Linked DNA regions of Rhinolophus ferrumequinum. The protein of the gene in region 1 interacts with the protein of each later gene in a pairwise test. Links are inferred from orthologs where the notes say so. Each region holds a gene or a part of one and is shown in the gene's direction. Other genes may lie near its edges. The genes, in order: MAX, MXD4, MGA and MXD3.

The links.
Region 2: the proteins of MAX (region 1) and MXD4 interact in a two-hybrid assay, tested with the Homo sapiens proteins (2 studies listed by BioGRID). The link is inferred for Rhinolophus ferrumequinum from reciprocal best matches to the Homo sapiens genes MAX and MXD4.
Region 3: the proteins of MAX (region 1) and MGA interact in binary tests that used the Homo sapiens proteins (3 or more experiments, as listed by UniProt). The link is inferred for Rhinolophus ferrumequinum from reciprocal best matches to the Homo sapiens genes MAX and MGA.
Region 4: the proteins of MAX (region 1) and MXD3 interact in a two-hybrid assay, tested with the Homo sapiens proteins (4 studies listed by BioGRID). The link is inferred for Rhinolophus ferrumequinum from reciprocal best matches to the Homo sapiens genes MAX and MXD3.

Annotation. Positions count from the first base shown.
Region 1 is NC_046289.1:30,901,782-30,909,581, forward strand, and holds the start of MAX (protein max), read left to right. Parts: upstream 1-4,378; 5' UTR 4,379-4,594; coding exon 4,595-4,630; intron 4,631-5,350; coding exon 5,351-5,377; intron 5,378-7,800. UniProt on the Homo sapiens protein: Transcription regulator. Forms a sequence-specific DNA-binding protein complex with MYC or MAD which recognizes the core sequence 5'-CAC[GA]TG-3'. The MYC:MAX complex is a transcriptional activator, whereas the MAD:MAX complex is a repressor.
Region 2 is NC_046288.1:86,854,604-86,861,985, forward strand, and holds the start of MXD4 (max dimerization protein 4), read left to right. Parts: upstream 1-4,151; 5' UTR 4,152-4,301; coding exon 4,302-4,365; intron 4,366-4,472; coding exon 4,473-4,572; intron 4,573-7,382. UniProt on the Homo sapiens protein: Transcriptional repressor. Binds with MAX to form a sequence-specific DNA-binding protein complex which recognizes the core sequence 5'-CAC[GA]TG-3'.
Region 3 is NC_046289.1:63,755,285-63,763,013, reverse strand, and holds the start of MGA (MAX gene-associated protein), read left to right. Parts: upstream 1-4,267; 5' UTR 4,268-4,390; intron 4,391-4,606; exon of another isoform or gene 4,607-4,686; intron 4,687-4,752; exon of another isoform or gene 4,753-4,768; intron 4,769-7,729. UniProt on the Homo sapiens protein: Functions as a dual-specificity transcription factor, regulating the expression of both MAX-network and T-box family target genes. Functions as a repressor or an activator.
Region 4 is NC_046307.1:5,312,928-5,321,455, forward strand, and holds the start of MXD3 (max dimerization protein 3), read left to right. Parts: upstream 1-5,183; 5' UTR 5,184-5,274; coding exon of another isoform or gene 5,275-5,344; intron 5,345-5,622; coding exon of another isoform or gene 5,623-5,631; coding exon 5,632-5,728; intron 5,729-6,431; coding exon 6,432-6,703; intron 6,704-8,528. UniProt on the Homo sapiens protein: Transcriptional repressor. Binds with MAX to form a sequence-specific DNA-binding protein complex which recognizes the core sequence 5'-CAC[GA]TG-3'.

The DNA of each region.
Region 1 (7,800 bases):
GCTCCTGTCAGAGGGCCTTTTCCATATAGCCCTCTCCATAACTCTATAACCACTCATTCCCTGCCCTCTACAGGCCTAGGGGTGGGCACAGAGCCCCAGTGGTACTGCAGAATCCTTTGTAGTTTCTTTACACTCTGCCCACATATTTCTAAACAATCTCGTTATTAAAAAACTCCTCAAGTGATCTTAATTTGTATGTGCCAGCTGGTTCCTTCTGGGACCCTTGAAGTTATACCTCCTCCCCAAAAAAAGGAAAAAGCAAGCGTAAATGACATAGGGAAAGCATGGGACTATTGTCCTGAGGATTGTGGCTTGAGAAGTTTGCTGCTTAGGAAAGACAACGGACTTACTGAGATAGTGGTTGTCTTTTAATAGCTCTGCTATTTTGGTGAAAATGATACTGCTCACTTAAAAAGAAAAGAAAAATCATTGGAAATTCCACCTCCCAGAGACAAATGTTAACATTTTTGTGGAATATCCTCGCTCATCAAAGCATCTCAAACTCTAATGTGCATATGAATCACTTGGGTATACTGCCATGTTTCCCTGAAAATAAGACCTAGCCGGACCATCAGCTCTAATGCGTCTTTTGGAGCAAAAATTAACATAAGACCCAATATTATGTTATGTTATTTTATGTTATATTATATTATACCAGGTCTTATATTAATTTTTGCTCCAAAAGATGCATCAGAGCTGATGGTCCAGCTAGGTCTTATTTTCGGGGAAACACGGTCTTACAATGCAGGTCTGATTTAGTAGGTCTGGGATGGGGCCTGTATTTCTAACAAGCTCCCTGGTGATATGGATACCATTGGACCAAACTTGAAGTAGAAAGGAGCTAGATTGGGCTGCCCAGTGACAAGTCCCAGTCTTGAGAAGCTCACATAGGGCTTTACCAAAGACACGCATGCAGAGATGCAAATGAATTCTAAGAGTCCTAGATTATTATTCACATCATAAAAATACTAAAAAGGAAAACTAGAGGAAATGTATGTTCTCGTATGTCTAATTCTTTGCTGCTATTATGCTTTGCCTGTGAAAGTACCTCTATTTGGGTCACTTAATAGTGTTTCTTAAGTTCCAAACGTGTGAAGATTTTCTAGTGTTTTTGTTTTTTGTTTTGTTTTTAAAGATTGTATTGGGGAAGGGGAACAGGACTTTATTGGGGAACAGTGTGTACTTCCAGGACTTTTTCCAAGTCAAGTTGTTGTCCTTTCAGTCTTAGTTGTGGAGGGCACAGCTCAGCTCCAGGTCCAGTTGCAGTTGTTAGTTCCAGGGGGCGCAGCCCACCATCCCTTGCAGGAGTCAAACCGGCAACCTTGTGGTTGAGAGGACGTGTTCCAACCAACTGAGAGCTCCAGGAGCTCCATAGCAGCTCAGCTCAAGGCCCCTCTAGTTATCTTTTACTTATTATTTCTACTTTAATTGCGTTAGGTCCAAGAACTTGTCTTCTAAGATCACAGTCCTATGAAATTTGTTGATATTTGATGTAGGGCTCAGAATGTGATCAATTTTTTTTTTTATTTTTTTTTGATCAATTTTTATAGATGTTCCATGAGAGCTTGAAAATAATATACTCTACAATTTTTGGGTGCAGTGTTTTATGTGTCTTAGGTCAAATGTATTACCTGGGTTGGGGCCGGCCTGGTGGACCAGGTGGCTGGAGCTCCATGCTCCTAACGCCAAAGGCTGCTGGTTCGATTTCCACATGGGCCAGGGGGCTCTCAACCACAAGGTTGCAGGTTCGATTCCTCGACTCCTGCAAGGGATGACGGGCTCCACCTCGCGCAACTAAGATTGAACATAGCACCTTGAGCTGAGGTACCGCTGAGCTACCGCTGTGCTCCCGGCTGGCTCATTTGTTTGGAGCGCATCCTCTCAACCATAAGGTTGCCACTTCGACTCCCGCAAGGGATGGTGGGCTGCGCCCCCTACAACTAATAATGGCTACTGGACCTGGAGCTGAGCTGTGCCCTCCACAGCTAAGATTGAAAGGACAACTTGACTTGTAAAAGGTCCTGGAAGTACACACTGTTCCCCAATACAGTCCTGTTCCCCTTCCCCAATAAAATCTTAAAAAAAAAAAAAAAAAAGTATTACCTGGGTTGATAGGTCTTCATATTCTATCAATTACTAAAAAGATATCTGTTAAAATCACCAGTCTCTCTATCTGGAAAGACTTTCCTCATCACTTCTGCCTACTTCTCCAGGCCTCCATCCAACAACTGAGGATTCATGTTCACCAAAATATGATCCAGTCTCTGCAGATCCCATCCTTAGCCTGATGGAGCTGACAGCCTAACAAGACTTACCTGATCACCAATACCTCCCCACCCCACCTCAGACCTGGAAATATTTCTCCCTCCTCTGAGCTCTTACAGCATTCACTGTCTGCGTAGCTAATTTAACACTTAGTTTGTGTTCACTGCAATTATTTGTATTCATAATTTACTCCCCTATCAGGTTTTAGATTCCAGGTGGGCAAAGATTATCCTATGTTTTATATCACTGCTTTATTGAAATACAATTATTGACAAACCATAAAATTCGCTCTTGTAAAGTACACGATTCAGTGGAACACTATCTTATTTATCTTGGCATCCTCTGTAGCACTGGTTCTCCATCTTGGTTGCACATTGGAATCACCTGCAGAGCTTTAAAAAAAATACTGCTGCCTGGTTCTCACCCCCAGAGGTCCTGACTTAATTGGTTTGGGGTGCAGCCAAGGCATTGGAATTTTTAATAGCCCTGGAGTGATTTTAACTTGTAGCCAGTGTTGCCCTGTAGTGCTTTGCACATAACTGGCACCCAATAATTGTTTGTTGTGATCATGAATTAGCTCTAACTTCTAATATCTAGCTAACTAACTCATGCAAGAGCTACCTTCCCTGTCTCCCTTATAGCCCATCAGCTTTTATATCATAATGGTCTGCTTATGTCTGTCTCCCCCACTTAGTGTGAAAGAAGACTAGGAGACAAACGCATTTAGAAAAGATGTTTACTTGCAAAGCTGTGCAAACTTCAGTAGGACTGGATCACTGAATAAGAAATACAACAGTTATTTAAAGGGAAAAAAATGTAAAGATTACCACATTTACATGTCTCTTCAGCACGAATGATATGGGGATGTATGTCACAAAGGTTGTGACAAATATCCTCAAACTTCTGTATTCAAAAGTCAGGGATAAAATGGTTTTCATGAGGGAATCAGAAATTTAAGAGAAAAGCTCAAGATTTCATTCATTTTGGAGACCAGATGTAAAAGAGTAGTTCGGGTACTTTGTTTCTGTCAGGGGTGAAAGTGTCTTGTTTTCTCTTCCTGTGGGACTTGATGTACACTCTTAAAATGGCAGCAGGGTAGTCTCATTTTTGTTTCCACAGCTGTGAGCAGCATGAAGTCTGGGACAGTTCCAGTCTGATACATTATGGCATCCCCATGCTGGCACATGTAGGTGTTCAATAAATATTGGTGGAATGGATACAATGACACCTCATGCCACCGTATCTAAATATGATTCTAAATGGACAGGAGGTGCAGTTTCACGTTTTGATACTTTTTGCAATTCTAAATTATGGTACTCTGAACTGGGGCACTCCCTAAACTGCCTCGACTGCAACAAACTCAGAAGAGGCTTTTACTTCCACAGAAACGGTTGTTAGGGGTGGGGGGTGGGGTGTCTGGGAATGTATGAGCCTCACGTGAGTAGCAAGGATGGTCATTTGGAAAGATTTTCGCCTCTGGCAGCTGTCCCTCGGTGAGGCCGGTCATCCTGCAGGTCCTGTAACACTATTTAACACCTGACATTGACACATCTTCATAGCCAGATCCTCAGGGTCCTTCTCGTGGACGTCCCGAGCCTCGTCCCCTAGTCTGCCGCAGCAGGATCCCCAGCTGGCGGGTTACGCCCCAGGGCGCAAAGCTGGGAGACTCAGGAATTAAGAAGACAAAGTAAAACCAGTCGCACCAAGGAGAGACAGCGTTATTTAGGAAGCTGGCTACTCCCCCAGAGCCTCCACCCTGTCCCCTGGGCCCGGCGCCCGGCGCTCAGACCGTGCCCGGCTTCAGGAGCTCCAACTCCCTCCACGTGTCCTCTCTTCCCAGGAGTCTCCACGGCTGCCTCGGGAGAAAACCTCCTGACAACTAGGAGTCGCAGACTACGACTCCCAGCAGGCACTGCGCTGCTTCTCTCTCCGCCCACTCCATGGGACACGCAGGCGCTCTGGGCTCCGTCAACAAGTTGGGCTGGCGTCGACTAGTTGCAGTTCCTTACGGGATTTGTAGTTTTCTTGGCGCTAGCTGTGCCGTCAGTCAAAAGAACGAGAACTACAAGTCTCGGCGGCCCCAGCGTGACCAGCCTGGTCACGTGGAAGGGGGCCGACCGGGCGTGCGTGCCGCCGTTGATCTGGTGCTGCAGTGAGGAGGTGGTTCTCGCCCGTGTTGAGTGTGTGTGTGAGTGAGAGAGTGAGTGAGTGAGTGAGTGAGTGTGTGTGTGTGGGGACTCGGCTTGTTGTTGTCGGTGACTTCCCTCTCCCCTCCACCCTTCCCTCTTCCCCGTCGTCGCTGCAGTGGCCGCTCCCTGGGCCGTAGGAAATGAGCGATAACGATGACATCGAGGTGGAGAGCGACGTGAGTCCCGGGATTTTTTCCTTCCCTTGCGGGTTGTCAGGCAGGGACTGCGGCCGGGGCTCTCAGCGGGGTGACGGCGGCAGGGGGCCGGGCAGCAGCCGCCTCCTTCCCCTCCCCCGCCCCCCGGGCTCGGACCGCCTCCGTCGCGCTCCCGGCTTGCTCCCCTCCGGGCTCCTGGCCCGAGCGGCCTTCTGAGCCTGGAGGTGGGAGGGAGATACGCGGCCTCTAGGACCCTCATCCTCCCCCGGTGGAGGAGGGTGCTGCGGCCTCCCGCTCCCACCCTATACCGCTCAGGATCCGGGGGACAGGGACGGGTTGCGCCGGGATCCCATTGTCCGGACCCTAGGGAAGGGGACGACGCTCAGGACCTGCCCCATCGGTCCGTGATCCCCTCCTCTCTTGACCCGCGGATCCTGGGGGGGTGAGGGAGGACGGTGAGGGGTTGGGAGTGCCCAGATGCCCAGAGCTGGGTCCGAGGAAAGGAAACAGTGCTCTGGTTCCCTCCAGCCTGGGTCGGATCCTGGAAGGAGGGGCGGCGCTCGGGACCCCCCTATCCCGCCACCGGATCCCGCTGGGGGGGTTAGGGGTGTGGGGGAGGGAGGGAGGTCGGGCTGACTCCCCACCCGCCGCTTCCTCCGCCGCCGGCATTTTCTTTCTTTAATGAATGTGAAGTGTAAAAATAACTTCTATATTTTCTATTTTTTTTCTCTCTTATTCCAGGAAGAGCAACCGAGGTTTCAATCTGCGGTACGTCTCCTACTCTCCATTTCATTTTCATTTCCATTCAGTTCTAATCCTTTTTGGGGTCAGAGAGAAAAAGATCATTCTATTACTTTTAATAATGTAGTAAACTCTCCTGTTGATCGCTAAGGTGAGGTTGGGGCCTTGTTCTGGGGTTCTAGGTGGGGAGGTGGGTTTGCAAATCTCATAATTTTAGGTTCTCAGGTGACAAGTTGCGGTGACCGGATGAGTGAGAGAAGATATATGCAAAGGAATGAATCGTTCCAAAGTTTTCTGATGGAGGAATCTAGCTGTCACTATATAAGTTGTAGATGAGAAATGCATCATTCTGAAGTAAGTTGTATGATTTCAGGGCAGAGTGGTCGAAAGATTTACTTGGGAACAAATCGATTCTAAACCATATCTATCTAGTTGTTTGAAGCTGGAGCCACATGCAGTGATCGGCTTTAACCAAAAGTCATGTGACTGCTGTAGACTTACTGAATCTAACACACCATGGTATTATTCTAATACAGAAATTGGAAATGTAGAGGAGCCAGAGGTTGAATATGAGAGTCACATACAGCTTATTGTGTAGTCTGATGATGTTTAAGTTGAAGGAGAGAGATAAAATAGAAAAATAATTAAAGAAAGGTGGCATTGCAGAGGTAGTTTTGCTAAAAGGTGATGGTTGAAACCATACAATATCATCAATAATTTGTCAGGATTTTGGTATTAGTGTTCTCAGTAGATGGTTCTATGGATGTAGATACAGATGTAGATATAGATACAGATGTTGATATACATATACACTAATAATATCTTTGGAGTCAGAGACAGTCCTGTGGGTGTTCCATGAATAGATGAGAGAAAGAAAAAAAGAACAGACACAAAATCAGAATCAGAGGGGAAAAGAAATAAGTATATTAGCGTGTCCACTGTTTGACAGCTGGGAACAGTAAGTGTATAGAATGTGGTCAAAAATTCCTATGCCTCTGGGGGACCTAGGCAGGCAGATAGTCACAAATAAAGTAGAGAGCAGAGGGCAGGACTGGGGTACGTGTTATTTTTCTGATTTTTAAAATGATGTGTGGGACAATCAGGTTGTTTGGAGGCTTACTAGAATTTGCAGGATGCCACTTTGATACCTCTGGTCTAAGAATTTAATTACCACAGGATAAAAGCAAGCCCTCTTACTGGTACTTTCATTAGAGCAAGCAAAAATTCTGCAGTTTGTCCAAGCAGATCAGCATTAAGAAAAGTTTTATTTATTGAGAGCTGATATTTCAATAAAAATCTGAGGATAGAGTTTTAAAAATTAAAAATTACCCTGGCTAATAGTGACTAAAAAAAATTTATTTCTCCTTGAAGTATTGTCAGATACTGAAGTTTATATATATATTTGAAAATTCAGTTCCTTTTTTTATCAGTTACTATTACCATTAATAATGTGAACGTGGAATTTCATGCTTGGGACCCAGTCTATTTAAAACATCTTTTTTTCTCCAAGTCTCTATAAAATCTGCTCCAGGGTTTGATCAGGGTTGGAGGATATGGATTTGAATTGGAATTATTATTTGAATTGGAATTACATTGGCTTTTCAGTGGGGGAAAAGTTTTCCATGTGAAATTTTGGCTTACTGTTCTTGAAAGCTTTCTGCTTTTCAAAGTATTCATCCACATGGGCGTTGATGTAAATTGCTTTATTAAATTATTAAAATGTTTCCACTCTCCTAGAATGCTAATCTCATTGTTTTGTCTAGATATATTTTGAGTTTGTTGTTAAGGTGCCTACGATTTTTCTCTTTGATTTTGGTGGGTGGGCAAAGGGAGTGGGTTTGACCCTTTGTTTTTAATTTGACATCTACTTGCTGAGACTTTTCAGTATTATCTGGCACAGGAAATTACAGTAGCATGGAGAGAAGAAGCCATAGACAAATTTTATAGTGTATCAAACAATTATAAACATGTAGGGTAAAAAGGATTACATTATTTTTCTCTGAATATGTGTTCCTGACACTTAGCATAGATAATAAATGTATTATTTAAAAGTTAGGGGGAGCTATTCTTAAGCTTTACCTTCGTTCAGAAAAGGATGTGGAGTGTGAATAACTACGTACGTATTTAGGACTATAGAAGAATTTTTTAAAAAGTTACTTGGCAAAGGTTCTGCTAGGTCCTAATGTAGAAAGAGACATTTGTGCTTTATAATGTCACTATAGTAGCTAAGGCCTTACTACATGAAAAATGTAGGATACTCCACAAGAACAGCCTTAGGAAGTGAAGCTACCTAACAGAAAGTGAAACTGATTTGATGAATATTTTTTTCTGTTTCCTCAGTGCAAAGAAAACAGCTTCTCCAGTCAGTGACCAATAAACTGTGTTCAAGGAAGTAACCCACAATATTTTTATTACTAAATTTAGTATATCTCAGAATCCCACTAATGTTA
Region 2 (7,382 bases), on another chromosome or scaffold:
TTCCCAGCCATTCCTGGGTCCTCCTGTTCTCTGGACTCTGCACCAGGAGCTAGGAGAGGCAGGCAGGACCCAAAGTGCCCACACCATGGGGATCAGCGTGCCCAGGATGCTTCCTGGAGGTGCTTGTTTCCTGCCTGGCCTACCCAGAGCCACCTCCTCCAGGCAGCCTTCCCATTCAGTGGAGGCCCCCAGCCCACCCTCATACATGTTCTCCCATCAGAGCCCCGGGGCCCTTTGCAGGGATCAGCGAACTTGTCAGCCTCTCCTGCCTCTGAGATGGGAGGAGTGATTCCAGACCAGCACGGAGCAGTTGCTCAAACACAATGTCACGCCAAAGACTTAAACACCAGCAAGGCTTTGGTTCTGCTGCTGTGCTCGTTTGCTCCCAAACGGTTAGGGCAGCCCAGGCTGGAGCCTGCACCTGAACTGGGCAAAGATGGGTACCCAGACACTCCAGACCTGCCTGCCCGTGGGGGTCTGCAGGTCAGGGGCCATTGGAGCTGGCTGAGCTGGCTGGGCCCTGGGGGGTGGGCAGTGTGTCTGTGGAAAATAGGGTGCCAGAGCTAGAGGCCAGAACAGCCCTGAGAGTTTGAGAAATGGTGATGCTCCCAGCGGGGTGGGGGGGACACAGATGGAGAATAAGGCACCAAATGCCATGAGGGCAATGGCGAGTTGTGGCAGAACTCTGAGCAGGGGGGACACATTCCGATTTGTGGTTTAGACATCGAAGGGAGGAGGAGTTGGTGGGGCAGAGGCCAGGGTCCCCACTGTTGGGACCTCAGCTCCATCAAAGGCAGTAACACAGCCTAGCCACAGTGACAGCTGTGACCTTACTGTCCCCCAACCCCATCACTCAGGACCCTGTGACCTGAAAGGCCTCTGCACCCTCTGACGGAGGCAGCTCAAGTCACCCTCGCCAGAGCCCAACCTGCTGCCCTCTGGGTGTAGAAGCAGCTGGATGACCGGGACCCTGGGATGGGAAGTTGGGCGTGAGTTTCCTGGGCCCAGGCCCTCAGGGCATCCTGCCTGAGACTAGGAAGCCTCCACTTTGGCATTATGTTAGGCTGTGCAGACAGTTAACCACATCTTGATTTTGTATTCTGTCTTCTTCTTGTATTCTGGAGACATTTTTTCCCTGAGTGTTAAACTTCTTGAAGACCCCGGAATGCTCAGAGGCCTGTCTGCTGCCCACGGCGGGCCAGCTTGAGCAGCCATCACTCCGGCCCAGGTTTGACCATGATTCTGATACTGACCGATGGCGACTGGGCAGGCCTGCGTTAGAAGCACTTGCTGATTTTGGGCTGATGTTTATTCCTGCCACCTCCCTTTGTGCTGAGCCTGCAGCTGCCCATGCATTCCTCAGGGTACCCCACCACCTCCCCAAGCAGCAAGTACTGTCAACTCCATTTTATGGCTGGGGAAACTGAGGCTCAGAGACATTAAGTGACTTGGCCAAGGTGTTGTGGCCAGACTAGAATCCAGAGTGGCTTTGCGGAAGGGACCCGTAACAGGAGCTCCCCAGGAATCTCCCCTGGTCCTGGAACCCACGAGGCATCTCAGCATGGGAGCCAAGGCTAGGCTTTCTTCTGTCCCCAGGCCCCGCAGACCTGCCTGCAGGGAGCTGTCCAAACAGGCCATCCCAGGGGTCTGAGGAGAGGCAGGCTGTGGGCTGCCGGATTCCAGCACCCACCCAGGGCTGGGCCCCGTCTTGGACTCTAAATGGAGATAAGGATGGAGGGCTGGGCTTCCAGTGGGGGGCCTGAGGTGTCTGCCTCCTCTTAGGTGTCTGCCTCCTCTCCCTGGGCATGGACTTTGCTGATTCCTTCTGGGACAGGTCCCTGCACTAGATAAGGGGCAGGAAGGGCTGAGCAGGAGTAGGAAAGGGAGGCAGGTGAGGAGGCAGCTGGCCTGGCCTGGGCTCAGGGAAGGTTCCCTGGAGGAGGTGCTGGGTACCTGCTGGAGACGTGCCCTACAGAACTGGTCCTCGAGGCGGCACTGCACCTGACAGCCTGAGACCCAGACGCATCTGCCTGCACCAGGCCCCCTGCCCTTCTTCCCAGCCCCTCGTTCACACGTTCCTCCCATCCCTCTTGCACCCCTACTCTCTGTGGTGCAGTTGTGCCGACTCTCAGAGGTGGTGGGGAGCCCCTCGGGCACCTGGTGTGGCTGGGGAAGGGATCCCCAAAATGGCCTAGATGTAGATGGAGGTCAGGTGGGGGCCACCCCCTTTGCTCTCAGGCTGGGAGACAGCAGGCACACAGCTCCCACAGTCACCCCTGGTCACCTGAGCTGCCTGCTGTGGCACAGGGTGCACCTCACACACCACCCCTGGAAGGATGGTGGCCATGGGGCACGTGCACCCACGCAGGGCTAGGTGCTGCTTTAGGACTGAGGCCAGCAACCCACCCTTCACATAGGCAGGGATGGAGTGATGAGCAGGTGCTGAGCTCGGGGCCACCTCCTACACCCCAAAGCCCAGAATGCACCTGCCCCTCCCCAGAGTTGGGCGCCCTCCTTTACTCTGCGTCCGGAGCAGCCCTCCAGACTAACCCGGAGAGCCATTGCACCCAGCTCTCGTCAGGGGCTCTGCCCTGGCCGTGGGGTAGCTGTCAGGCAGGAGCAGGAAGCACGGCCTTAATATCAAGGGGTTGTTTTAATGTCCGTGCAGGGCTGTCTGAGAGCAGTGTCCAAGCTCCCCCCGGGTTCTGCCACTCTGCGGGGCACACGTTCCGCACCCTATTTCTCAGATCACACAGCTGTGGCGCTCACCCCAACAAGTCATGCTGGGGCAGGAGGTGGCCTGGTCTCTGCACTCCTGTGTCACCAGCCCTGCGTCACACATATAGGAGCACTAATGTCCATTCCATGGGGACTTCCGGGAGACCCTGGGGAACCCCTAAACCTCAGGATTCCCAGTTTCCTCATCTGCAAATCGGGGATGCAGAAACACACAAGGTTTTTTGTAGTTTTTGTTATGTTTTGTTGGCTGCAGCAGTGCTCCCTCCCCAGTTTAGAACTTCTGTGGGGAATCCCATCCTCAAGAGCTGCCCAGCCACCAGTCTTAATAAGCAGTGACAGGGAAGATCAAGGGTGACTGAGGCCAGTCTGCGGCTGCCCCCGGGCTGCCAGTCCCTGCTCCTATGGGGCCATTTTAGGGTCAGGGGTTGCCAGGGCCACCGGCCAGCTGGGAGCTTGAGATGCTGTCTCCCTTCCCACGGAGTGCACCTCTCTTCCCCAGAATGTGCTCCCTTGGCCAGAGGGCACCAGCGCCTGCCTCTCCGAAAGTCCTCACCATTCCGACCAGACAGGAGCACGCAGCCTTCCACGCATGGGAGCCCCTCCAGGTTGTGTCGGCAAATCTTTGCCCCGCTTCTCTAAGCCTAGAGCTCCTCCTTCAGCTCTGGGGTCCGCTAGACAGCTCTGAGACAGACACCCCACCCGGGCCTCAGCTTCCCAGTTGAGATCCTCAAGGCGGTTTGGCTTTTAGGCTCAGACTGTCTGCGCCCCTCTTCCAAGCCCCGGGCTCTCCTGGGATCACTCTTCGTCCCAGGAAGGGGTGTCGTTTTGCAGCCCTACGCGAGACCACTAAGGTCACAGCCAGGCCCTGTGCTCCCGCGGAGCCAGTGCTGCAGATGGCTCAGGGGCAAGAGGTTCCCTCTCACTGTGTGCAGACCTGGGAGCAGAGAGGCGCTCCAGACGCTCCCCGCGCCCTAACGGGCCCTCGCGCAGGGCCGGGCGTCGGGCAGTCCCACCGCGCTCTGCTTCCTCTCGGCAACGCGTCCGGCCGCGGCGTCCTCATTGGCCGCGAGCCTCGCAGCCAGCCATTGGTCCGCGGTGCCTATTTTACATAGACCGCTCTGGGCCAATCGGCGTGCGGCGACTACTTAACATGCACGCCGGCCGCCAGTCAGCTAGCGCGGGGGCCGGGCCACCACGTGCTGTTGCTAAGCTTGGGCTTCTAAATTGTTACTAGCGCGGCGGGCCTATCCCAACCGAGCATCGCATCTGTCAACATTCTCGGCCCGGCCCGAGGCGTTCGGCCGGTTCCGATTGGCCTGACTGGGGCCAACGTCCGCCCCCGGAGCCCGAGTACTGGCCCCCATTGGCTGTGCCGGCCGCCGCTCGCCCATAAGTGTCAATTTGAGGACCGGAGGCGGAGGGTGGCGGCCGAGCGCACAGGGAGTCCGCGGGAGTCGGGGCAGTGGGGCCGCCGGGCGCGCGGGGCAGGCGGCGAGCGGAGCCGGCCGGAGTGGGCCGGGCAGCGGCCGCCGCCGTCCCGGAGCGCAAGGGCGGGCCGGAGGATGGAGCTGAACTCCTTGTTGATCCTGCTGGAGGCGGCTGAGTACCTGGAGCGCAGGGACCGAGGTAGCGCCCGCGCCCCTTTGTGCGCCGGGCCGCGGGAGGGCGGGCGGGCTGGCAGCGGCGGGACCGGGACCGGGACAGGGCCCGCTGACCGCACCGTCTGTCCGCAGAGGCCGAGCACGGCTACGCCTCGGTGCTGCCCTTCGACGGCGACTTCGCCAGGAAGAAAACAAAGGCGGCCGGCCTGGTGCGCAAGGCCCCGAACAACAGGTACCGCCCCTCGCGCGGCCGACCCTGGCCTTCCTTCCCCCCGACTGCCTTCCCTCGACCCGGATCCCCGGCCCGCAGCCGGGCCTCCGCCGTGCGCCCCGGCGGCCAGCCTGGAGGAGGAGGCACGCCGGGGCCGCGGCCGCAGCCCCGCCCGCCCGGCCCCGCCCGCGCCGTCGCCATCTTCCTGCGGGCCGCGCCTCCTCGGCCTCTCGCGTAAACAGTGCCACGCGTACAGCCCCGCCGTCCGGGGTCTCCTCCCGCAGCGGCTCCCCGCCCCCAAGTTGTTCTGGACTTTTCTGGGCAGGAAAAAAGTTGTCAGTGGGTGTTGGCCGGTGCCCCTTGGGTCTGGGGAGACTGAGGCTTGGTGCAGAGCAACGTGGGGTTACCCGCCCTGATCTCAGCTCACCGCAGGTGGTTGGGTGGGCCTCATCTCTCCGACTGTGTCCTAGGGGCGAGCCCTGCTGCTAGGCTGATTCCCCCCACCCCCCACCCCCAGTGGCCTGGACAAAGAAGGCGGCACAGAGGCCCTGCCCTGGGCCTCCACTCCTTCATGGTGCTCACGATCCTGCCGGCCTCCTGACACAAGTGAAACTGGTGACAAGTGTAGGGGTCTCCTTCTTTGGGACTTGGGACCCTTTTTAAGGGGGAGGAGAGAGAGGGGGCAGGGTGCTATGCTGCAGCTTCTCCTAGTACCAGAGTCTCTGGTCCTCTGGCCTCCACTCAGGTTGCAGAAGCAGGGGTGCACAGCCCTGGGTGGGGAGTGGGGACCCTCAGCTAGGGCTCCCGTGGGGTTCCACTCTCCTGGCTGCCAGGAGGACCAGAGGACACCTGACACTGCCCAGGGCCCACTTTGGCCCAGACCAGGTCTGTCATCAGGCTGGGAGCTGCACTTTGGGGGGCTTCGGGGCCCCTTGGCAGAGGGTGCGGTTCATTCCTGTGGCCTGTCCGTTCTTGGGAAACAGAAAGGCTGGCACAAGGACTCATCTCCTGTGACGTCCTGGCGCCTGGGCCTGGCAAGGAATTGTTTGTCTCCATCTGCCCTGGCTTGGACATGCTTCTGAGTCCCGGCCCCTGGTCCCCTGCTGGGGACAGTTTGGGAAAAGACATGCATGGGGGCGTGGGGGGCACCACTGCCTCAGGCCTCCTCAGTGAGCTAGCTAGGCCCCTGCTGTGGGCTCTCAGTGTCCCAAGTGCCATACCACCCATGAGAAGCTCCCAGACATGATCTTGGACTCCCATGGCATGGCGTACCCAAAAAAGATAACCAGAATCACAGCCAAGGCTGTGTGAGTACTTCCTACATACTGTTTCACACACATGCTAACTAATATTCACCTAACCCCATGAAGGAGCCGTTATTTTTATCTCCATTTTAGGACTGAGGAAACCGAGGCAGAGAAAGATTGAACTACTTGCCCAGGCCACCCTCCCACCTCGGGACTCCTTTTTCGAGTGGGTCCTGGTCCTCTACGTTCTGCCGGGATGGAGACCTTGAGGGCACTGGAAGGGACCGAGAGGGTCTCCCAGGCTGGGGCACACCTCGCTGCTGCTCCTGTGGGCAGAGCCCGACTCCCCCAGTGCCCGAGCCACCCCAGGCTCACAGAGACGCCCCTTGAGGCTGTCCTGGCTCAGCTGGGCCTCAGCCAGCCCAGAGCAGGGGCTAGGGCAGAGCAGGGCCTGGAGGACCCGGGGCTCTGACTGGGCGGGACAGTCCCACACTTGGAAGGCTTTTGTGTCCCACCAAGGTGAGGGAAAAGATGGGCACAGCTGGAACCAAGGTGAGGGGAGGGTAGTAGGGCAGGAGGACAACGTGTGTGGGCTGAGACAGCAGCCCCAGTGGCTGCCGAGGGCTCCAGCAAGGGCTTTCAGGGCAGTTGTTCAGCAGGAGAGCCTGGAGCTAGCCTGCTGGGGGGAGGGGGACAGAATAGCTACCTCAGAGGGTTGAAGTGAGGGGCAAACCAGGTGATGCCAGGAACACACTTAGCACAGCTCTGGCCGGGGCATTTCACCTGTCCCGAGGCCACCCTGAGAAGCATAGACCGTGACAGGCACTGCTGGTACCTGTGTGGTGACTCCCTCCAAGGCTCCCATGGGTGTGTCCTGGCCAGGAGGGGCTCTTCTCCCTGCAGGGAAGGGTCCTGCCCACCCTCTGAGGGGGTGGGTGGGCTTCTCTACATTGAAGGACACCTGCTTACTCCTGCATCCCTCACAAGTGGGCAGACCTACAGACCCACACCACTGGGCTGCAGTTCAGGCCCGCGAGGAGCCTGGTGGCTGTGCCCCTCCAGCCCCGACTGGCCCTGGCAGAGGTTCTGAGGCTCCTTGCCCAGCCCACGTGACCAGCAGGCCCTGAGGCCCCTGGTACCTGAGTCTGGATGCAGTCCTGAGGCTGCACAGGGAGGCCCAGGAGCCGGCTGCCCCGGTGGGAGGAAGGGAAGCCTTGGGCCCCAATTGGCTGTGGTGGGCCACAAAGCATGGCAGGTGGCAGAGGCAGGCGGAATGGGGAGGCACCCTGGCCCAAGGAGTGGGGGTGAGAGATGCCTAAGCCTAAGTTCCTGGAGGAGGAGAGAGTGAGGGCAGGCAGGCAGAGCTCAACGGAAGCTCCAGGAAGGGGTGAGGGTTGGGGGACACAGGTTTTGGTGGCCTGGTTCTCTGCTCTCATATGAGGCAGGCTTGGTGGCCTAGGAGCCCTCTCTGGCCTGGCCTGGGGGGCGGGGGTGACCTGGAAATGGGAGCTTGGCCCCACTACCTCACTGTCCCACAGGGCAATGGCTGGGGCACTGCCCATGCGGGGCTCAGGACTCTGCCCC
Region 3 (7,729 bases), about 33 Mb from region 1:
AAGCCTTATCATATACATGGTTTACAAGTATTTTGTTGCTGATTGTTTGTCATGTGCCAGAACTGTTCAAGATATTGAGAATACAGAGGAGGCCTCTATTCTCATGGAGATTGTGTTCTCTTGGGTAGAGGCAGAAGCGAAACAATACAACAAATAATGTAGTTTTAGATAAGGAGAAGTACCATAAAGAAAAGAAACAGGGTGATAAATTAGAGATGATGGGTAGATGGAGGGAGTCTACTTTACCTAGGGTAGTGAACTAAGACCTTTCTCTTAGAAAGTCACATTGAGTTGATGAGAATCACTGAGAAGGATCCATCCACATGGATTTCATCCCAGGATGAGGGCACAACCAGTGCGATGGCCATAAAGTACGGATGATAATGGTGATCAAGGGTGTGTGTATAAACCATAAAATGATAAGTAGGCAAGGACCAGATCAGTTAGGGTTTACAGGCCAAGGTGAAGAGTGTGGATTTAATGGTAAGTGTAATATGAAACATGGCCAGTTTCAAGCAGAGGAGTCATAAGATCTCACTAATACTTTTAAAAGATCACTTTGGCTGGTCTGTAAAAAATGGATTATGTAGTAGGGAGAGATGAAAAGCAAGGTTCCAATGAGTATTCTTTCTTCAGGCTCTTCTTTTACACCACCCTCAGGCAGTTGTCCCCTCATGCTGCTAGAGTCTTCTATTCTCTTATGTTTCTAAATTTGTATCACATCGTGTACATTGGCAATGGGGGTCTTCCTTAACAGAATACATTTTTGTCACCTCTAGCAACTTCCTTCATTTCTGTATCGTTCAGTGTGTGCAAGGTTATGTGATAACTGAAGATCCCAAATCTCAGTGTCTTTCTTAAAGCAAGCTAAATTATTTCTTGCTCACGACATATGTTCACTGCTAGTTGGCTTGGGGTAACTGCTCTGTGTCATCCATATGATGGGAACAAGGCTGATGGGGTAACTACCATTGCTTGTGGCTGTGGAGAAGGAAAGAGAAAATGGCTGAATTGTGCACTAGGATTAATACTTCTTCTCAGAACTACTCCATGCCACTTCCACTCACGTTTCATTGCCAAAGCAGTCACTCCGAACTTCAAAGGAGCCAGGGAGAGCAATTATATTTTGTTGTTGAAAGTTGGGAAAACCAGAAATATTTGAGAATAGCAAAAATATCTACAATCACTTCCAAGATCACAACTAATTCTCTTCAGCACTCAGTAAAATATTTGCCCCAAACTTCTAGACTTTATAACTTCCTATATGTATTTAGATACATTTGCTTATATTAAAAAAAATATTTCACTCCTCCTTACTAAGGACATTCACTGTGTAGGACATTATAAACCTTTTACTCGTCTATTGTAAAACAACATAGATGACAAATTTTGTATTCTGAAATCAACTTTAACATGATATTCTCATTATAATGAAATACTTATATATGTAGGGTCTCATAGAGATAAGGGTTGTACTAATGTCATGGTGGAAGAAATGGAAAGTAGGTGTTGGATTTAAAAGACGTTTACATGTGAGAACCAGCAGGACTTTGTAACCATTGAAAGCGGAAAATAGATGAGAAGGAGCAATTAAGGATAACGGAGGTTTCCTGGACCGGGAGACTTATTGGAATAGTGGTGTCATTGCCCATTTAAGGGAATACGGTAGTAGCTGGTGCGTGAGGTAAATGGACAGATAATTAATTTGAATTAATTGAATTAATTTGAAATTTTGAATTTCAGATGTGTATGGGAAACTCTGCCCTATCTAAATCCTCCCTTGGTTAGGAGTGAATGGTGAAGCTAGAAGAGGAAAAGAAACCACTGGAAGAAGACTGGGAAGGGAGCATCGAAAACATTGTGTTACATAAGTGAAGAGAGAAGTGAGTTTTGAGGGTGTCTTTACTCTGAGATATTTAAATATATACAATTTTAACCTCTTTGAAGTGTAGGCACAGGTGCCCATTCCACCTTCTAAGCATCTCTGTATCATCATTATTTTACTTCAATAATGTCTACAGTTCAGCATTTTAATATGTTAAAAAGGAAAAAGCTTGAAATGAAGGCAGGAAATAATGTAACAATATGTACCAACAGATGGGCAACAGTCACTAAAAAGTCTAAAAGAAATCTGCAGTGTTAGAATTTGTTAGTGTGCCTCTAGCACTGTCTAGGGGAGAAACAGAATAGTGGAGAAAAAAGGATTCAAGAGTCTGCTATACTGGACAGAATACAGGATGCTGGTTAGAATACAACTTTGCCACTAAATAGTACTCCTATTTATAGAGTGCCTCCTATTCATCAGGGACGGCGACAGGTATTCTAAATATTTTTATTTCAGAATCATCATGATAATCCAAAGACTTGGTACGATTGGCCCCAATTTGTAGTTCAAGGAACTGAGCCTCAAACATTCAAAAACCTGTTCAAGGTCAAAGTACAGTAAGTGAGAGAACTGCAAGTTCACACAGATGGCTTTGACTTCAAGGACTGGGCTCTTTCCACTAGAGCCAGTAGAACCCAAATCTAGTTGTGCATTCCAGGTGCCTGGAGACTATGTTAAAACACATTTGCCAGCTTCCCATTCAAGATTGTCTCAGAAGATGGTAATATTAGTATAGTACTTTTCTTTCAGGGTTGTTGTTAGGGTTTCGTGTAATAAAGTATATTGGAATGTTTCATAAACTTCAAGTTTAACATAGATATAGTTTAATGGTTTTATTATCTGATCATCTAATTCCCTTTTTTATATTTTTTATTATGATTATATTTTAATTGAGGTAACATTGGTTAGTAACATTATGTAATTTTCAGATATACAACATTATAATTCGGTATCTGTATACACTATAGCATGTATATATCTAGTTTCCATCCGTTGCCGTACATTTGACCTCATTTTATCCATTTTGCCCTTCCTGTACCCCCCCTCCCACTCTGGTAACCACCAATCTGTTGTCTGTATGTGAGTTTGTTTTTATTTTATTTGTTGTTTCTTTTTTGTTTTATATTCCACATGAGTGACATTATATAGTTTGTCTTTTTTCTTCTGACTTATTTCACTTAGTATAATACCTTCAAGGTCCATCCATGTTGTTGTAAATGGCAATATTTCATCTTTTTTATGGCTTAGTAATATTCGTGTGTGTTTGTGTGTGTGTGTGTGTGTGTGTGTACACATACCACATCTTCTTTACCCAGTTATTCCTTGATGGACACTTAGGTTATTTCCATGTCTTGGCGATTGTAAATAACGCTGCAATGAACATAGATAGGTATGTATATATCTTTTCAAATTAGTGTTTTCATATTCTTTGGATAAATATTCAGAAGTCTAATTCCCTTTCTTTTGACTTTCTAGTCAGGAAACAATTGTGTAATAATTAATTAGGCTCATCAAATATCTTGAAACAAGAAAAGGGTGTCTGAAACTATATTTTGGCTTGGTAATCATATTTTAAATTGATACATTTAATTCCTTGTTTATGAATCAGCACTGTTGTGAGTCTGACCGGTGGTAGTCAAATTCCCCATGCTTGATCATCCCTTTAACTGAAAGACCAAAGTTTTGAAATCCGCAAAACTGAGGACAGAAGTTCAAAGTGGAGGAGATTTGATATGAATTGTTTTAATTGGGGGCTTCATGGGAGTAGAATATTAAGTTTTGACCTGGAGGCCGGTTTGTGAATAGGTTACAAAATGAACGCGTTCCGATGTAAGACCACCTTTTCTCAGCGCTAGCAGATGGTGTTTTTCTCACTTCCAATATGCATAGCTAGTATTAGCTTGAACCAGAAATTGTAATAGGGCCCTTTAAAATGACTCCTCTTTCGTCCACCCCCATTTACCTCAACAAGAGGAGTAAGTTACCAAGGAAGATCTGGTCTTCTGTCCCAAGAGAAATTCAAGGTGTTATTTCCTCTCCCAAGTGGGGTTTTAAGTAAGTTGTATATAAATTAGCATTCTTTTCCACTGACCATGAAAGGCTGGTAGTTTACTTGTGGGCAAACACCCTTGCTGGTTTTTTTTGCAATATTCACAAAGGCACTCAGCAGGTACTTACTAAATGCATGCTCTATGAAGAAAGGTTAAGCGGTTTCCCCAAGACCACACGGATGGAACAAGTGGGGGGAGGGGGACTGAAAGTGCCTGTTATATCCAGTTACACTCCCATAATTACTCAATCCGCCTCATTCCAAGCCGAAGGACCGGGCTTTCAAGGGGACGTGAAAGGAATGCCCGGGAGGTGAGAGCCAGGAAATCGGGAGAGGTGCCTTTCCCGGCATGCTCTGCAGCACACCGAGGGGCGCCAGACGTATCCCGGCGTGCATCGGGGAGCGCCCAAGGGCGATGGTTCCCGGCTCCTGGAGGGGCACGCGAAGTTAAACTGGTAGGTATGAGCTTCCTTAGTTTTGAGACCCTGTTTCCTCGTTTCCCCTTTGTGAATGCCATCCCCTAACGGCAGAAAAGGAGGTCCTCTAACTACCCTCCCTTTCCGCGTGCGAAAGACTTTCAGCGCCGCTTCGAGCACGGTGCCAGGTGATTAGCGGTTAGGGGCAGGCCTGAGTTGACCACGTGACCAAAGCTGGCAGCCAATGACTAGCCTGGTGGTCCAGCAGCGCGAGGAATCCCGGACCCGTGAGCAGAGCGGCGCGGCGCGTGGGTCCGCTCCGGTCGGCCCGGCAGGTACGCGCAGGCGCCTTGGTTGCCACGCATCCCGTTCGTCCCCACGCGCCCAGTGGCGTGTACTTGGCGCGAGGTGTTAAGAGTATGTTTGGGTGTTTTTGTGGGTAGGGGGAAGGAGAGGGGTGGGGGGCTGGCATCACGTGGACGCCACAGCCAATCGCAGGCCGAGGCGCACCCACAGCTTTCCCCGGCGCCCCGGGGTGCGACGTGTTCAGTGAGGTTCGGCTCAGCCCTGACGGCCAGAGCGCTCTTTCGAAGCGCGTGTGCGGCTTGTAAAATCTGGCCACGGGTTTTAGTGGCGTCCACCTCCGCTGTGAACACGGACGACAAGTTCAAGGCAAAATGGCTGCTGGAAACAAGTCTCTTAGCAGGGGGAGCGCTGGGGCCGCGTGAAGGTCACATGACGAGGTTGGCAGCGCGTGCTGCTGGCGCGGGGAAGGGGGAGGGTGGGAGAAGAGAGAGGCGTGGCCAGTCACGTGCTGTCGACTGTGCGGTCCTGTGGGTTTCCAGCGCCTTACGCTGCGGCCAGATTGCTTGCTTTTACTCCTCCCACCTCGAAGCGTGGCAAACCTCGGCGAGAAGCTGTGTGGTGTGGTGAAATCAGCCGAGGTCTGAGGTCTGGGAATTAGGAGGCCAGGGGTCTAAGCCTTCAGCTACTTTTGTAATTAGCAAGTCATGTTGCCTCTCTCGGCCTCCATTTTGTCATTTATATTTTAGCTCTGTATAAGAGATTATTTCTTTAAGGTCCTTCGTATGGGAGATTGTTTCTTTAAGGTCCTTCGTATGGTGTATGACTCTGCCTCATCCCAATGTCATGTAGATAACAAAAGAACAGTGAACAAATTATTAACTGAGACAATCGCATCTCCCCACAAGAAAAACCCCATAACCATCCCCTCCCTCATCATTACGTTGATGTGGGAATTTAGTGAAGGTAATTTGTTATTAGAATCTGGCATATCTGTCCATTTTTATCAATAGCATTTATACTTTGTACCTGCCCACTTTCTTACTTGAAAACTATTCTTTTGGACGTCTAGTCCCTGTGTGTTTCTGGAAAGAAATTGAGATAATAGTATTGTCATCACTATGTCACTATGGAGATGGGGAAACACAAGTAATTAGAAGAGACTTGCTCATGCCCCATAAGGCTTCTCCTCTTGATGGGCCAATCTTTATAAAAAAATAAAAAAAAATAAAAAAAATTGAGGCTTCCTCTCACTAGCCTTTGGTATTTTTCATGGTTCTCTGCTCCCAGCTCCAGCTCTTCATTTAACCAAAGGTCAAGGCCTTTAGTGAAATGAAGCAGGCATACATTATATATTTTTCATATCACTCTTTCAGTTTCATGCTACCCTTTGATGTATCTTAAAGAGCCTTTGAATTTTGTGGGAGCACAATCTGGAAAACATTTATCGAGCAATCATTATAATGATAGTTGTCACTTTTGAGCAATTAGAGTAATAATTAACATCTTTCTAGCATATTACTTTATATGTCTTAATTCATTTAGTTCTCATAACAAACGTATGAGATAAGTACTATTATCTCCGTTTTACCAATGAGGGAAATAGCAACAGAGAGATTAAGTAATTTACAGAATTCCAGCCAGAATGCCTTTTGAAAGCTTGACAAAATGAGTCAAAAGTTTATTTTGAAGAATGAACCTGTAAAATAGGAAAAAATTTGAAAGAGAAAAGTGAGGAGGGCTCTTAACACTAGTGACCATACAAATAAAGCTGTGATAATCAAAACAGTAAGTAGTAACTCTGGACTAGAGCAGTGGAACAGAATAAACCTAGAAATATATAAGGCTATTTAGTACTATAAAGGTGGCATTTCATATAGGTTAAGAAAAAATTTCCAAATGATGTTGGAACAATTGGCTGTTTGAAAAAAAGGAATTGTACCTTAAAATGTAAATAAAATAAAATCCAGGTGAATTAAATATAAAATGTGAAGTTAGAAAATTGCTACTTTAAAAAGTGGGTAAACAATTTTCCAATCTTGGAATAGGATGAGTTGTTCTAAGCATGACAGAAAGGCAGAATTCATAAAGGCAAAGATTGATAGAATTATTGCACGAAACAACCTCTAGTTGGCAAAAATACCATAAAGTTAAAAGACAAATTTATTAATTCAGTATTCATTTAACATATTTATTGAGTGCTTACTATGTGCCAGGCAGTTTTTCAGGTATAGGGATCCAATGATGAGTAAAGCCAGACAAATTGTGGGAAAAAAATCTTGCGCGGTGTGTTGGACCTACGTTAATGACCTTAATGTCTAATGGCGGTAAAAGACATGAATAGGTAGCTCTCACACACACAGAGACATAAAAATAACCAATAAAGATGAAAATACATTTTTTTTTCACTTATAAACAAATAACAACAACTTCGTCCTTCTGTCTGGCAGATTGGCACCTATGTAATAAAATGTTCATATTTGGCATTGGCATAGGAGTGGGGGAATGGCATACTCATACACTGCCGTTGATTGATAATTATGTATGAACATCCTTAATGGAGGCCATTTTGGCTGTACTTATGAAAGCATTAAAAACCTATATGTCCTTTGACTCAGCAGCTCCTCTTCTTTGTTAAGGGACTGGTTGGTACTTTATAAAGATTTTCATTTAAGAGTTGTCTTTGTAGTATTTTATATAAAAGCAAAAACTGGAAAAACTTAGGTGTTGAATAATAGGGGATTGGTTAAATAAATAAAGTGCCCTCATAGAAGGTAATACCTTTTAGCTAGTAGACATGATACAGATTTCTACTAATTATTTGGAAAGCACAGTATTATGTATATTGTTAAGTGTAAAAAATAGGTTACAAAATTATGTGTAGTAGGATCACATTTTTGTAGGAATATACCTATATGTGTTCATTTACATAATAGTCTAAAATGATATACATCAATGTAAACTAACAGCGAAGTCTAAAATGGTATACATCAGATGTGAACCAGTGATTTTATTTGAGTGGTAGAATTTTTTGGATGAATTTAATTTAAAAAATAAATGTTACTATTTAGAATA
Region 4 (8,528 bases), on another chromosome or scaffold:
AACAATTACGTCAGTAGATGGAAGGCATTTCTATGGGTGTTAAAAAGCTAAGAAAGGAATTTCTATAGGTGCAGATAAGCTAACATAGTGATGCTAATTCTAAAGAATGTCTTCAATATCCAGTCTGGTAGTCATCATGTCCGCTTTCCTGTTATCTTTGCAAACAGTTATTTGGAATACAATGCCTTAGACCCAGTCCAAAATTTATTTTGCCCAGGTTTAACATTCAAAGTTTTGAGGAGTAAGATGTGCAAGGCAGTTCCTTTGAGATGGCAGTTCTGCCTCTATTTTAAAATGACTCCATTTACATTATTTTCTACAAAGGGTATAATGAATTCAGTAGTGAGTTGAATAGTGTCCCTCAAAATTTCATATCCACCCAGAACCTCAGAATGTGACCAAATTTTGAAATAGGGTCTTTACACATGTAATTAGTTAAATTAAATGAGGTCACATTAATTAGAGTGGGCCCTTATCCAGTGACTGGTGTCCTTATAAGAAGAGGGGAATTTGGACACAGAGAGACACAGGGGAGAAAGCCTTGTAAAGATGGAGGCAGAGTTGAAGTGATATGTCTGCAAACCAGGGAATGCCAAGGATTGCTGGCAAACATCAGAAGTGAGGAGAGAGGCCTGGAACAGATTCTTTCTCAGAACCCCCAGAAGGAACCAACCCTGCTGACACACAGAGTTTGGACTTCTAACCTCCAGAACTGTGAGCGAATAAATTTCTATTGTTTTAAGCCACTCAGTTTGTAATATTTTGTTATGGCAGCTCCAGGAAATTAATACACATGGTAATGAGCTATTCTGGGATGTAGCTAGAAAACTTGAAAAAATGAACCAAATGAAAATTCTAGATCTGAAACATACAATAGCTGAAATAAAAAGTACAATGGATGGGCTAAACAACAAGTTGGCTGCTAGAGAAGATAGACAAAGTGAATTTGAAGACAGGTAAGCAGAAATTATCTACACTGAAGCTGAGAGATTTTTAAAACTGAAAACATTAACAAGCATCAGTTACCCTTGAGATATTATCAAACTGGGAGATGGACATGAAATTGAGGTCAGAGTAAGAGAGGAAATAGAAAGAGAATAGGGCAGGAAAAAATATTTGAAGAAATAAAGGCTTCTTCAGAAGCTCAAACCACCCAAGCAAGATAAATACCAAGAAAACCACACCCAGGCGGTTGCCTGACCTTTGTCCTCAGGTTTTAGGAGACATCCTTTTTTCCCCACTGGGGAACCTTGGGCTAGCCAGGAAGTAACAATGTGACAATCAAAGATAAAGAGAAAATATTAAAAGTGGATAGGGGAAAGAGACATTACATATAGGGGGGAAGATAACAATTCCAGCTGACTTAGAAAAAAATGCCAGTCAGAAAGCAAAAGAGTGACATAATTCAAGTGCTGAAAGGCTCCCAACCTAGAATCTTATATCTAGTGTAAATATGCTTCCAAAATGAAGATGAAATAAATTTATTTTCAGATAAACAAATGTTGATAGAATGTGTTGTCAGAAGACCCACATTACCAGAAACTCCAAAGGAAGTTCCCCATTCCCCAGGAAGACTGACCGGAAATGATGCCTGCTTAAACGCAGCTCTACAGGATGAAGTGAAGGATGCTGGAAATGATGTGTGTAGTGGTGAAATACAAAAGACAGTTTATTCTTAATTTTTAAAAAGGGAATTGACTGTTTAAAGCAAATTTGTAGCAATGAGTTTTAGGATTTATAACATGTGTAGAAGTAAAATATATAACAACAGTAGTAAAAAGAATGGTAGAGAGCAATGGTGTATGTTTTTTACATTACATGTAAGATGTTTTCTGTATATATTATACATTATAAAATGGTACAGTATTAATTCAAAGTATACTGCGATAATTTAAAGACATATTTTATAATTCTTAGCATAACAACTTAAAAGAGGTACAGATAAGAAGCCAATTGTGGATACACAATGTAATGCTAATAAAGACCCAAGTAACCCGAAAGAAGCCAGAGAAGAAGGAAAAAAGGGAAAAGGACAGAGGGGACAAATGCAAAATAAAAATCAAGATAATAGACCTTAAACTCAACCGTATCAAAAGGATTTTAGTAAATGCAATTCAAAGACAGAGCTTATCAGACCACAGGGAGCGAAAAGCCCCAATGATATGCTGTGTTGAGAAAAACATGTTAAATATTAAAGACTTTAATAGGTTAAAAGCAAAAAGATAAGGAAAAAACTTACCAGGAAAACAGTAATCAAAAGAAAGCTGTTGTAAGGTTGGCTGGATGGCTCAGTTGGTTAGAGTTTGGTGCTCTTAACAATAGGGTTGCCGGTTTGATCCCCACATGGGCCACTGTGGGCTGCCCCCTCCACAGCTGGATTGAGGCGATTGCTTGACTTGGAGCTGATGGGTCCTGGAAAAACACGCTTAGATAAATAAAAATTAAAAAAAAAGAAAGAAAAAGAAAGCTGTTGTAGCCTTAAAGAAAGGGAGATTGCCAAAGATAAAAAGGGATTTTTCATAATGCTAAAAGAATTAAGTCATCAAGAAGATATAACAATCATAAATGTATACTCGTATGTACTTAATAATAGGATTTTGCACTATGTAAAGCAAAATATGTCAGAACTAAAAAGATAAATACAATCCCACAGTTATAGTTGAAGATTTTAACGTTTGTCTCCCGGTTATTGAATAGAATAAGCAGCCAGCATAGCCACAGGTACTGTGGGCAGGCAAAGCCGAGCGGTGGGGCGTGCACAGGGGCCGCAGGGCTTCAGTGTTCAGGCTGACTGTGCAGAACCTGGGGGGTCTGGGACAGCGGTTCTAAGACCAGTCACTGCTACGGGGGCAAGAGCACTGGAGGTCTTCTGCTTGGTCCTGCGCCCAGATGGTGCTAGCACTAGCATTTTCTCAGAGGGGCCAGAGGGGCATCCAAGGGTTTGGGGCTGGAGTGCCATCATCCCCACCTGCCCTGCTCCCTGGGAGGTATTGCTTCCTGTCCCCCTGGCTGGCGGCCCTGAGCCATATTCATGGGAGGCTTGACCGTAGCCTCCACGTTGTTCTTAGCTCGGATTCTACTCATGGCTCCTAGGATGAAGTCCAGACTTCTCAGTGTGGTCACTCCAGCCTCCCGGCCGCCCCTATCTCACTTCCACAACCTCCCGGGAGTGTCTCTAGCTATGAAAGTGTGCTTCGCTTCCTCCCTCTGCTGGAAACTCTCCTCCTTCAGAAGCCCGCTCTTCATCTTACCCTCACACAAGGCCAGGCCACCTGGGTCCCAGATGTCTGACCAGTGGGTTTGTGTCTGCACTGTGTGGGTGCTGACTTTAGTGAAATCAAATTGGAAATTAATTCACAAGCCTTGACTCCTTTCTTTAAACATAGGTAATTGTGTGTGGGGGTCTGCAGAATCCATCAGCCTGTTCTGGACCCTGCCAGCCTCTCCAGGGCCGGCTTTCACCTGCTCTTTGCTCTCTCTGTGCTAGCCACAGTGGCCACCTTTCAGTCTGCATATATTCCTTTCAGCCTCTGGGCCCCTGCACCTGCTGTTCCTGTGTCTGGAATTCTCCGACATCTCTCTTATACATAGATAACAGCTTTTCATCCATTTCCCCAGAAAAACCTTCTCTGACCTCCCTGATTAGGTCAAATGCTCCTTAGGGTGTACCCTTTCAGTGTCTGTCCTGCCAGGAGCTGTCAAAGCTGTATCTCTATTGTGTCCACCTCTTTCTTCCTCTGTGATTTCTGCAAAAGCAGGAACCCCATCTGATTTTGCACATCATTCTAATCTCCAGCTCCAGCACAGTGCCTGGGGGCCATTAAGTGCTCAGCAAATACTGGGGGAGTGAAGGGCTGGGTGAATGGTTCAGTTCTTGGCCAAGCATGTCAGTGATTCCTCTAGGGGTGACTCTTAGAGAAACTCCAAGGTTTTTCCAAGGAGGCGAAGACTGACCGTCATGTGCCATGTGTTTACCCAGCACTATGTCTTTATAAAGAATCTAGTCCCTCCTCGTCCACCCTCTCCATTGCCCGGTCACTGACTGGGCCCGCCTGGCAGCCTCCGCACTTAAGTCTGTCACTGTGCTCCCGGGTGTGGTGCTGGTGCTGCTCCTAGACGTCACTGCAGCTACTCCCTCGGGAGGCTAGGAGGTCACTAGAGTTCTGCGGGAGGGAGAGGCCTGCGTGTAGTGCCCCGAGCCATAGAAAGTTGCACCTACCTACTGGGCGGCACAGGCGTGGGCTCTGAATCGTCAGCAACGCTGTCGCAGGGCTTCCCGAGCTTTACAGGAGGGAGGTCACTTCCCAAGTCACGGAGCTGAGAAGCAGCGGTGACAGGAAAGGAACCCAACTCGGTCGGCTCCAGAACCCAGGGCTCTCTAGCCAGCCGGTTCGCGTGCTTCCAGACTATGGCGGGGCTCCGGAGGTCGGTACACTACTACATTTCGTAGTGACAGCAGCTGTCTTGCAGGTGAGGAGGAGGAGCCAGGAGACTATTCCCATGAGCCACAATTGGGAACCTGAGGTCCAGCGGGGCCCACAGGGGCAGATGGCCAGCAGGCCAGGGCACAGACCCCGAAGCGCGGAACTGGATCCGCGCCCCCTCCCCCGACGCCTGCGCACTGCGGCCCCATTCCTCGCTCAGCCCCGCCCCCACCACAGGGTTTTCAAATTTGAAACCTGCTTCTTTTCCCGCCCGAAAGTGTTGACCAGCGGCGGGAGAGGGCGGGGCCGCGCGTAGCCAATAGTGCTTCAGAGGCTCCTCGGCCCCGCCCCGAAGGTGACGGCAGTTCGCCGCAGGAGGCAACCTGCAAATGGGCTGGGGCGCCCGCCCGCCCCGCCTTCGCGGCGCCCACGTGCAGCGGCCGGGCCAGGGACCTTCTGGGGACCAAGGGCCCCCAGAGCACCTTCGCTGTGCCCGGCCCTCGCCTCCAGTACGGGCTGGAAACTGAGGCCCAGAGACGCCAAGCAGCCAGTGCCGGGTCACTGAGCAAAGTGAGCTAGACACATCAGCCCCTAGCCCGGGAGTTCGCCCTAAAGCCGGGCCTGGAGCTGGCGCCGTAGCGTCCCCGCGAGAGTCCAAGGGGGCGAGCTGCGGTCCCGGCGCGTCCCAGAGGGGCGGGGCCAAGAGCTGGGCGTCCCGGGGGCGGGGCGTCCCGGGGGCGGGGCTGCGCGCCTGTGTTTGTTGCACCGTGTCAGTTACATTGTAACAAAAGTGGTGCAGCCGCCCCTCCCGCCCGCGCCCCAGGCCCGCCTGCCGCCAGCTGTCGCCGACATGGAACCTGTGGCCAGCAACATCCAGGTCCTGCTGCAGGCCGCCGAGTTCCTGGAACGCCGCGAGAGAGGTGAGGCAGAAGAACCTTTGGCCGGACTCCAGGCGGCGACTTCGCTGACACGGGCCTGGGTTGGACTTGGCTCCTAATTGGAAGGATGCATGCATGGACTTGGGGCAGTAGCCCCGGGACACCCCCACTTTCAACTAGAGAGGGGTCTGCTAGTGGTTGGGCTGTGAGGGGTTGGGGAAATGGACCTGGCGCCAAAAGCCCCTCCCTGACTGTGCCGTGCCAGGGGCGCCCGCTGGTACCAGCCCCAGCTTGACGCGGGTGGGGGCTCTTTCTGGCAGAGGCTGAGCATGGCTACGCATCTCTGTGCCCGCACCGCAGTACAGGGCCCGTCCACAAGAGGAGGAAGCGATCCCCCCAAGCTCCTGGCGCGCTGGACAGTGGGCGGTGAGGAGGGCTGGGGGTGACGGGGCGGGGGTGGGGGGCGGTGCGCGACGCCCCTTCTCGGGCCCCTCCTCGGCCCCCTTCCTCCTTGTTGCTTGAATCTTCTGGGCCAGGTACCCTACTCTGGAGACATTCAGACCCCTCTTGCCGTCTCTCCACCCCCCCAAACACACACCCTTCTATTCACTCAAGGACTATTTCTTGAGTACCCCTGATATGCCAGGAACTGTGAACAAGGGAATTCTGGGTCCTGCTTCCACTCACGCTCCTGCGCTCCACCTATCAAACCACTCTCTTTATCCCACAGGCTTCCTCCTTTTCTCTCCTTGTCTCAACATTTTGCACGATGTTCCCTCCAATTTGAGTGCTTCTCCCTTCACTACCTGCTTTGGGTAGCTTGTGTTTCCGGCTCAGCTCACTTGTCCAGGAAGCCCTTCCTGACTGCTGGTAGGGGGCTTCATTTGGACCTCACAGCCACCATGGGCAGGCCTCTCTCAGCATTTGCTGCCCCCACCTACCCACCCACCCCATGTGTCTCTGCTACCATCTGGCAATTCAGGTGCCTGAGGCCAGCACAAGGTCCCCACACTGAGCTAGTTGGGGGCAGGCATCTGTAGTGAGTGGGTTTTGAGCCCCTGGGAGCCTGGTACTGAGGGTGTGGGCAGCAGCCGACACCCCTTTACCCCATCCTCCCCGGCATTGGCAGGTCTGTGCACAACGAGCTGGAGAAGCGCAGGTGAGTACCAGCCCTGCCCTGACAGCACCAGGCCCCAGGAACCGCTCCCTCTGGCCTGGCCTTCCCTGCCAGCCCTCTGGCCAACAAGACTGGACTGGCACTGCCCTCCAGACCCCTTCCCCTGCAGGAGGGCCCAGCTGAAACAGTGCCTGGAGCAGCTGAAGCAGCAGATGCCCCTGGGGGCTGACTGTGCCCGATATACCACACTGAGCCTTCTGCGCCGGGCCAGGATGCACATCCAGGTAAGGGGCTACCCTCGCACCCTGGGGCCAGCTTGCCAGGACGGGTGGAGAGGTGTAGTAGGGAGAAGCTGGATGGAACTGGAGAGAGGCCTGAGGTCATAGCCCCTCTGTGTGACAGGGAACAGTTCTCCGTGCTTTTTTTAGTTTCCACATTTTTTTAAATGTGAAGAAAAGCAAAAAATAACTCAGAGGATTGTTCTGAGGCTTAAGCTTCAGTGTTCACCCAGTAAATGTTCACTGTTGTTTTTACAGCTATTACTCCTTCCATCCCAACTGTAAGGCCCTGGGCCAGGCTCTTAGCCTCTTTGGACTTCCTTTCCTCCTCTGTATGGGGGACATGGCTGTTGGGTCATGTGTAAGGCCCCCCTGGAACTATAGTGGGGTGGTCCTCGCTCTTCCTCTCCCTGTCCTTCAAGTCCTGTTCTAGGCAATCTCTCCTGAAGCCACTTTGGGAGGCAGCTCCAGAGGCCAGGAGGGGGAAGACTCTGAGAGGGACTGTCACCCTTGTTCCCAGAGCTCTGCTGCTGCCCCCTGGTGGACATGAGTGGGGTGTGCTGACTCAAAGCTCCAGGCAGTGGGGATTAGGAGCTGCGTTGGAAATAACAGAGGCCTTTCCTGGCCCTTTTGTCTGGGGAAGAAATGGAGGCACAGCCCGGCTTATGAGCGGCAGATTCAGAACTCAGGCCCAGGTCTTCTGACTTGCATTCTTTCCTCCAACAAGTATTTATTGAGCACCTGCTCTGCCAGGCCCTCCTAGGCACAGGGGGTTGTGGCGGAAACAGCTGGATGTGCCATGTGGCAAATAAATCAGTGTGGGAATTGTCCGCACTGTCCCATAGGTGCCTGAGTTCCTGTTATGGTGGCTGAATAACACCGTGGCTGGATAGCAGGCCCCAGTTTGTCACATGGAGCTTGCCTGGCCTGGTTCTCGGAGGGACGGTGTGCCCCTCAGGTGCTGACTGGCTGGTGGGCAGGACCCAGGGATCGCTCCTTCCTGGAAGCCCCATCACCCCTCTCCTGGACTCCCAGCTTCCTGGTTTGCCTCCACCAGGCTGTCCTCCACCTTGCCTTAGGATGTTGTTTGCATCACATAGATCTGTCCAGGTCTGTCTCCTATGAAAACCTTCCATGGCTCCTGACAGGACAGTCTCAGACCTTATTTCCTGTGAACTCAAGGCCCTTTGCAAGTCAGGCCTTGCCACTGGCCTTTTTTCGTTTCATCTCTTCCCCATTCCCCATAAAAAAGCCGAACTCTCTGTGCTCTTCCCGGTCTCCCTCTGCCCGGCTGCTTCTCCTCCCCCATCTTCACCCAGGCAGCTCTTACTCATCCTTCTACACTCAGTCCCAATGCCCCCTTGTCCCGTGCTCCCCTTCTTGTTGACTGAAGGCTTCTGCCCACTGAAGGCTCTGACGTGAGAACCCTTGGCCTTCCAGTTCCTGGTACTTGGGCTGGCAGAGCTCTGGTGGGGGTCAGGGGAGGAGATTAACACTGAAGCCTTAGGGATCTTGGGGGGGCCTTGACCAGGAGTTACAAACTGGTAGCCTTTTGTTTAGTCTGTAGTTTTCTAAACGTTTAAATTAGTTGGCAGCACTTAAAAGGGCATTTGACATGAAACATCTGACTTTCCAGCTCTCTTAAAGAAACTGGGAGATCTGGCAGCACTGGGCGTTTCCACGTGGCAGTAACTGGCTGGAACCTGGAGGTCGCCTTCTCCTTCAGCTGGAGTACACACTTGCCAGTGTGCCATAGTTTGTCCCTCCCATCCCTGTCGCTTGATACCAGCACCCGCCACTCCTTCACTTCACATCACCTGACTAGGCCCCG